Canis lupus familiaris: one gene and its partner. The main gene of each other region encodes a partner of the protein of the gene in region 2 in a complex. Links are inferred from orthologs where the notes say so. Each region holds a gene or a part of one and is shown on either strand. Other genes may lie near its edges.

Region 1 (4,380 bases), on a different chromosome or scaffold from region 2:
TGTCCAGAGCTCTCCCATAGGTGCCAGTCCCATTCCTATATTTCATTCAGATCTCTGCTGAGATCCCACCGTGTCAGAGAGCTTCCCTGATCAACCTCTCCAAGCAGCCCCGGCATTCTTTGATCTCTATCCCTAATTTTGCCTACCACTGACCACCACATGGCTGATTACCACATACAGGTAATATTTACCTGTATGTCTTCTTTTGTCTCCTCACCACTAACAACACCCAGGAGGACCTCTAGAGCCCGGCATACAGCAAGTACCCAGCAGATGGGCAGGGGCATGGCTGTAGACATGAAGAGCCTGGTGCACATGGCCTCTCATCTCTGCACCACCACCAGCCTGCCAGTACTGCCGAGCAACCCCACACAGCTTTTCTGAGCTTCAGGCTCCTTCTCTATAAAATCTACCTTAACAGCCCTTTAGGAACGTTAGAGATGATTCATTTAAGATCCTTGAGGCACGGGTAGTGGCGAGTACAGTGGGGGCTAGAGAGGCCACTTGGCTGCTCTATAGGCCTGTCCCCAAGGAGTTAATAGCAGTGCTGTCTCTGCCCAGGATGCAGAGCTGGACAGCCAGTAAAGATAAACACAGAGTGAGGAACACGGACTCCATTCTCCATATGATACCATCCCAGGGGCCCCTAAACATTGTTTCTGCTCTACCCAGTTCCCCCACCAAAGCCCACCAGATGATGGCCATCTCTGAGCAGGACCTGCAGGTTGAGAACCTCCTCAACCCTGCTTTGGATCCAGGTGGCCCCAGTGTGGGAAGCAGAGGTGCTTGGCGGGAATGTGTAGGTTTGGACCTTATGAGGTGTGAACCCTATGGATTCTCCTCTGACAAAGGACCCATTTTTGTGAGGTGGGCCACACTGGGCAGGCTAGGTAGCCGGTCAGGTCCGTTTTCTCTGGCTGGTCTTCGAAGGTGACTAGAGTTGTTTCCCTGTCCACCACCAGGGGGCGCCAGAGGCTGATCAGCTCTAATGTGGACTTGTCCCATGGTCTTTTAAGGTGTCTTTCTTCTGGCCAAGGTCTAGGCCTGGGCAGCAAAGGGAAAGCATAGTTCTGGTTCTCTCCCACCTGTCAGCTTCGGCTTGCTGGTTGCTGGCAGCCCACTCAGGGCCACATTAAGGGACTGGAGGTTAGGCTTCCAGACTCAGTGTTCTTTATTGATAAGCATTAGGAACCCCTTGCCAGTTCTGCCCTTAGATTCCCAGCTTTGAGTAGGGAGTGCATCTTTGCCTCTTAGACATCTGCCTGAGTCTAGCTGTGTCCAAGGCTGTGCTTATTTGCCACACTGTTCCCAGGACCACAGTTTTTATGGTTGAAGAGGTGTGTAGCAGGCATCCGAGGGTCATGGCCAAGTCTTTATCCTCAGAGACAACTTTCCATGTAGGAAGTATAAGCTTCAGCTGTGTTGGCTCTCAGAGGGAGCTCCAGGAGCCTGCTGGTTAGATGGAGGGCTGAGCCTCAGAGACCTCCAGATTCAGCCTCTTTTCTCTATAAGATTCTTTTCCTGCTAAAGGTTCTTCACGGCAGAACTGAGCCAAGGGGGCAGCAACTGGCTCTCACTTGTGTCTTGAGGTCCTGGGATAGTGGGCAGGAAGTCTTAAGTGGTACCTCACAGGGGATAGAGATGCCAGAGGCTGTGCAAAGGAAGGGGTGGGGGCAGAGAAACCAGAGAGAGACAATTAAGTCCTTGATCTGATTTCACCAGCCCCAATTCTTGGCCATGGCTTATTGTCCCTGGCCAACCCCTCTGTACTAAATAGATAGTCCCTTGGGTCCTGGGTGCACTCTTACCCCACCATTAGCTCAGAGATAAGGATTATTAAAGCAATGTTCTGCTTTCCTGAGCCAAGCACCTTGGAGATCACCTTCTTGCCTGTTCAGCAAAGCCCCAAAGCCCACATTCATTTCTTCCTCAGGTCAGGGCAGTCCCCACCCTGCGGGCCAGCAGGCTGGTGGTGCCTGATGAAACCCCTGGCTCCCCTGAAAGCCCTCCTGGCCTGTCTCTGACCTGCACTGGAAGCGGGGATCTCCAGGGTGGGTCTGTAGCACCTGACGCACTTCTGGGGGAGGCTCCAAGCCCATCTGCTCCGCCCGATGCCAGCGCTGCAACCGTGTGATCCCTGCCGGGGTGAGAAGACGACACTGGCACCTCATGGGGGGTGGGGAGGAGTTCAGGCTGGAGAATGTGTATGGAGGGGTGTGTCAGGGCCTCCACACCCCCTAGTCTCGGGAGACAGTGCCCGAGAGGGTCAGGCAGGGGCGTGGGTTGCTTCAGGGACCTGCAGGTGACAGGACTGTCTCCAGGATGTGTTCCTGGGGCCTGAGAGGGTTCTCACCTGTGCAGGGCCCATACTGCCAGGCGAGATCAAACTGCCTCAGCAGCTCCAGCTCTGCTTCATCCACGCTCAGGGGCTGGGGCTCTTCCCCTGCAATGACACGCGGCTCCTCAGGCCTGCCCCCGGCCTCGCAGCTGCCCCACTGCTCCCCGGCCCTCACCAGCCCTTTGCCTCTGCCGGCCACTGCCAGGCCTGCAGTAGGAAGTAGAGGACATGTTTCACTTCCCCTCGCAGCACCCCCGTCCGCCCGCGTCCTCGCAAGCCCCTCGCTGGTGTCCAGTGCTCCCGCCCCCCGCACGCGGAAGAGACCTAGCTCCGGTGCCAGCTCCCCCTTGCTGTGCCCAGCGGGGCCCTCCCCCCTCTTCACTACGGGGTAGGAGTCAGTGATGAGCCGCTTCCGGCCCATGGCGGCCACCCAAGCAGGCGGAGAAGGAGGCGGCTGCGGGAAGGAGAGGCCAGCGGGCACGAGAGAGACAGCTGCTGAGAGAGAGAGGGAGAGAGGAGAGGAGAGGGCTGGGGCCAGCGGGCGAGCCCGGGGCCAGCGGCCGGCAGACAGGGCGACCCAGACAAGCCGAGAGGAAGTTCGCCGGTTCCAGGGAATGACGCGCGGCCCCCGCCCCCGCAGGCGCACAAACAGCAGAGACCCAAGCCAATGGTTGGCCGCCTCTGCGGGGCGGGGCCCGACGCCAGCCAATGGCAGGCGGCGGAGGCCGAGGGGGCGGGGCGCCGGCCGCAGCTGTGCTCCGGGAGAAGGGGTGAGGCTGGGTGGGGGACCTGTCGGGACGCCCCAGACTGCGCCTCCTCCTGCTGCCCCCCCGTCGGGCCGCAGCGGGCCTCGGGGGACTAATAGAGCGTTATCCTCGGCCTCTCACTTCCCGTTTTCCCTTCCTAGGCAAATGTTCTTTTCAGCCTCAGTAATCCCCGTGGCCGCTCGCTAACTCCCTAGAGTCCAGCTGGAGCCTCCACTCCCACCCCCCGTCCCGCAGAGCCTTGTGGGGGCAGGTCTGGAGGTCCGCGGAGCGTTGGGCTGATCCAGCCCCTTCCTTCCCAGCTCCCACCCCACCCCCACCGGCCCCAGGAGACCCGGCTGGAGAAGCCCTTGGGTTCCAAAGCTCCTTTCTCACAGTCTGTGCCCAAAGACCCTGCCCACTCTCAGTCCAGGCAAGCGTTGGCCTCGTCGACTCTCCTGGGGTCAGTACGCGCCCATGCCCACCCTGCTAGTCAGGAAGATTCCACACTGAGCAGGAGGCCAGCGTGCTTGTAGCCCCACTTTTTTTTTTTTTTTTATCAGTAAAATCTGCCCTGTCTCACCAATGTGACAGTAAGAGCAGAAAATACCAACCATAAACTAAACACTTACATGGCACTTACGGTGTGCCAAGTACTGTTCTCAGCACTTTCCCACATACTCACTCAACTAAAATAGATGTAAAATGAATGGTTCCTTAAAAAAAAAAAAAAAAAAAAAAGTTCTTTTTTTTTTTTTTAAGTAATCTTTACCCCTCAACGTGGGGCTTGAGCTCATGACCCGAGATCAAGAGTTGGGTGCTCCACAGACGAGACAGCCAGGGGCCCCATAAAATGGTTTTTGAAAGTAGGAAGTGCTGATCATCACAGGCATTGTGGGGCCCCAGTTAAATCACGGGCCCTCTGTGCCCTCTCCACAGAGGAGCTCAGAGGCTAACAGGGTAGGCAGATGGGACACACAAGTTGTCAATGCAAGGACAAAATTACTAAGAAACAGGAAAGGGGAGAAGGGTGGGTCAGAGAGGACTTGGACCACAGCGTTAGCTTAACACTGGAAGACCTCCTGGAGGAGGCGGGCTGCTGTAAACAGTGTCTCTCAATTCTCCACCCATGACCTTTGTCCCTTGGGCTCCTGTCATCGCTGAGTCACCCCTGCACCCGCCTCCCCCTCACCAACTTCCTGGCAGCAGGCAAAAGTGCTGGTCAGTGGGAGTCTGGGAATCAGCACAGGGACCAGCCCAGCTCTAACTGCCCTTTAGAGATCCTATCTGGTTCTTCCA
Region 2 (2,921 bases):
CATACCTGTTTCTGTGTGTCTCTCTCCTTGGTCCTTGCTCTCTGACCCATCACTCTAGGATTCACATCCTCCCCCATTCCAACTGGAGGGTCCAGTGACCTTTGACCCCCCCACACACAGCCCCTTCCTCAGTTTCCAGTTCCTGTCCTGCCCCCCTCATCTTGGCTTCTAGCTTTCACCTCCAGTTACCATCTACCTTCACCCCCAACCCCGCTATGAACTCTGACCCTTGCTTGGGAACCTTTGGACTCCCACCCACAGACCCCAACCCAACATGGGTCACAGCTTATGGCCGGGGACCCCTCAGGATCTGTGCCACCATCCAGACCCATGCCCCAGCACGCAGGGCAGCACCCGTGCCCAGTGACTGCCCCACCCCACTACCCACATGCATGCCCGAGAGACCTACCATCCCCTGGCTCCCAGTGCCCTTTGGCCTGTGGCCTGCTGCTGACCCGAGGATGTGACCCCACCCGGATTCTCTGTTTGCAGGACCCCCTCTTTGTGCTGGAGCACAGCCTGCCCATCGACACACAGTACTATCTGGAGCAGCAGCTCGCCAAGCCACTCCTGCGCATCTTCGAGCCCATCTTGGGCGAGGGCCGTGCGGAGGCCGTGCTGCTGAGTACTGAGGGGGAATGCCCAGAAGGGGGCTGGGCAGAGTGGGACCCTGGGTCATGGAGGACACCCAGTCCACTGTCTGCCCTCACCTGCAGGGGGTGACCACACACGCTGCAAGACGGTGCTCACAGGCAAGGTGGGTGGCCTTCTGGCCTTTGCCAAACGCCACAGCTGCTGCATCGGCTGCCGGACTGTCCTCAATCACCAGGGTAAATGCTGGGCCCCAGACCCCAGACCCCAGGCCTCAGGACCCAGGCCTCAAGACCCAGGACCCAGGACCCCACCCTCCACCAGCTCCTCCATTGCTGAGATTCCCGGCACCCGCCCTACAAGCTGGCAGTGCCACCCGGATGGGCCCTGGCTCTTGGGTGGGGGCTCCCATTACAGGCACCCCCTTGAGGGTCCTGGGCCCCTCGCCCCGGGAGTTCCCCGGGGACTTTTCCCTACACACTTGCTCCCTTGTTCTCTTGTCTCCCGGGGACTTTCAGAGGCCGGGATGGGCAGCGGGTGGGGAAGGGGCAGGGATAGGGCAGCCTAGGCCCTGGCTGGGCCCCAGCTCCCCTGTGCCGACCCACCCCCTCTCCCAGGAGCCGTGTGCAAGTTCTGCCAGCCTCGGGAGTCAGAGCTGTATCAGAAGGAGGTGAGGGCGTCAGGGGGAGAGGAGGGGATGATGGGAGGAGGAGTTGACTGGGGCGGGGGCCCCCTTTGAGCCATCTCATCCCCAGGTATCCCACCTGAACGCCCTGGAGGAGCGCTTCTCACGCCTCTGGACCCAGTGCCAGCGCTGTCAGGGCAGCCTGCATGAGGATGTCATCTGCACCAGGTACACAGAGCAGGCCCGCCACCCTCGCTCTAGCCTGCCCAGGTCCCTCCAGGCTCCCAAGGCCTGTGGACCAGAGCCCTAACCCCAGGGTGCCAGGTGGCGCCCTGCCCCACATCACTGACTTTTCTCAGCGCCCTGGCCTGAGAGGCCTGTGAATCGAGCCAGGGCTCATCCCAGCCTTGGGGGCGGGGGGGTGCTCAGTGGGCAGGGCTCACTCTGCAGGCCAGCATCTGCCCAGGAAATGGCCACAGTTCTCTCTCTCCTCTTATACACACACACACACACACACACACACACACACACACACACAGCAGTCGGGCCCCCTCCCCCAGGGCAGGCCAGGCTTTCCCCAGGGAACAGGTGGGCGGGGCTGGTTCCCACGCCAGGTGACAGGTGATATACGGCTGGTGGCCCAGCGCTTCCGCGGGTACCCGCTGTTACGGCTCCCCCCATGCCCACTGAGCAAACAGCCTGCCACTGGAGGGGGGGCTGGGTGGGCAGCAGACGGGGACCAAAGTCCTGGGAACAGCCCTGGCCCCATCACTGGGCTGGGCAGCCGCCCCAGCCCTGACCCTGACCCCCACCCCACCTGCAGCCGGGACTGCCCCATCTTCTACATGCGCAAGAAGGTGCGGAAGGACCTGGAGGACCAGGAGCAGCTTCTGAGGCGCTTCGGCCCACCTGGCCCCGAGGCCTGGTGACCTCCGACCGGGTTTCCAGACGCCAGGAGGGCAGTGGTGGAGAATTAATAAAGTTCAGGCCTTTTGTTTCCTAGTGCTTTGTGGTCTCTGGTGGGCGAGGTCCACTGTCATGAACCTGGGTCTGGGTGGGTCATCTTCACTCAGCAGGGTCCCCTGACCCCCGGAAAACCCCCTGCTGACTTCCTCACCTCTCTTCCAAGACCCCTGGGCTCCAAGCACTGCTGCCAGCCCCAGGGAAGCCAGGCCTGCCTCAGTGTCCCCCTGTAACCCTCCCTCAAGCCCCTGGGTGAACATCTAACCACATATCCTGTGGTGCCTGGACTGCCCCACCCTTCGGGTGCTGACCTGTTTCCGCCGGGCCTGGGGCAGCCCCTCGCACGGAAGCTCCCACTCCCCGGCACAACCCAGGGGACCCCCCTCCCATGTTACACACCCACGATGTTTCCACCTCAGGGTCCTCATAGGCCCTGGGCCTGGGTTTTCCTCAGAGATGCCCGGCCCCCCCCCAGCCCAGTCCATGTCCACTCATGAGTGTCCCAGCAACCCCATCTGTGCTTGAGTCCCTTGATGGCATGTGCCCCCTGGTTCCTGGGCCTGGGTCCAGGGCCCCCCCACTATCATTACTGACCCCCACTTCACTGACTACAGGACTCTATGGCTTTTCTGCTTTCCTAGGGTCCCCCTCGAATCCAGTTCCTTTCCCATCTCCACGCCTCTGGGTCAGCCCCCTATTCCCACCCCAACTGTGGGGATCCCCAAATCCAGATGGCCCCTGG

The links.
Region 1: POLD1 (region 2) and DNA polymerase delta subunit 4 share a complex: the UniProt entries of both Homo sapiens proteins name them as parts of the tetrameric DNA polymerase delta complex. The link is inferred for Canis lupus familiaris from reciprocal best matches to the Homo sapiens genes POLD1 and POLD4.

Annotation. Positions count from the first base shown.
Region 1 is NC_049239.1:50,604,024-50,608,403, reverse strand, and holds DNA polymerase delta subunit 4, read right to left. Parts: upstream 2,979-4,380; 5' UTR 2,760-2,978; coding exon 2,663-2,759; intron 2,444-2,662; coding exon 2,354-2,443; intron 2,138-2,353; coding exon 2,026-2,137; intron 1,652-2,025; coding exon 1,627-1,651; 3' UTR 600-1,626; downstream 1-599. UniProt on the Homo sapiens protein: As a component of the tetrameric DNA polymerase delta complex (Pol-delta4), plays a role in high fidelity genome replication and repair.
Region 2 is NC_049222.1:106,967,293-106,970,213, reverse strand, and holds the end of POLD1 (DNA polymerase delta catalytic subunit), read left to right. Parts: intron 1-492; coding exon 493-625; intron 626-716; coding exon 717-830; intron 831-1,208; coding exon 1,209-1,261; intron 1,262-1,346; coding exon 1,347-1,444; intron 1,445-2,039; coding exon 2,040-2,145; 3' UTR 2,146-2,218; downstream 2,219-2,921. UniProt on the Homo sapiens protein: As the catalytic component of the trimeric (Pol-delta3 complex) and tetrameric DNA polymerase delta complexes (Pol-delta4 complex), plays a crucial role in high fidelity genome replication, including in lagging strand synthesis, and repair.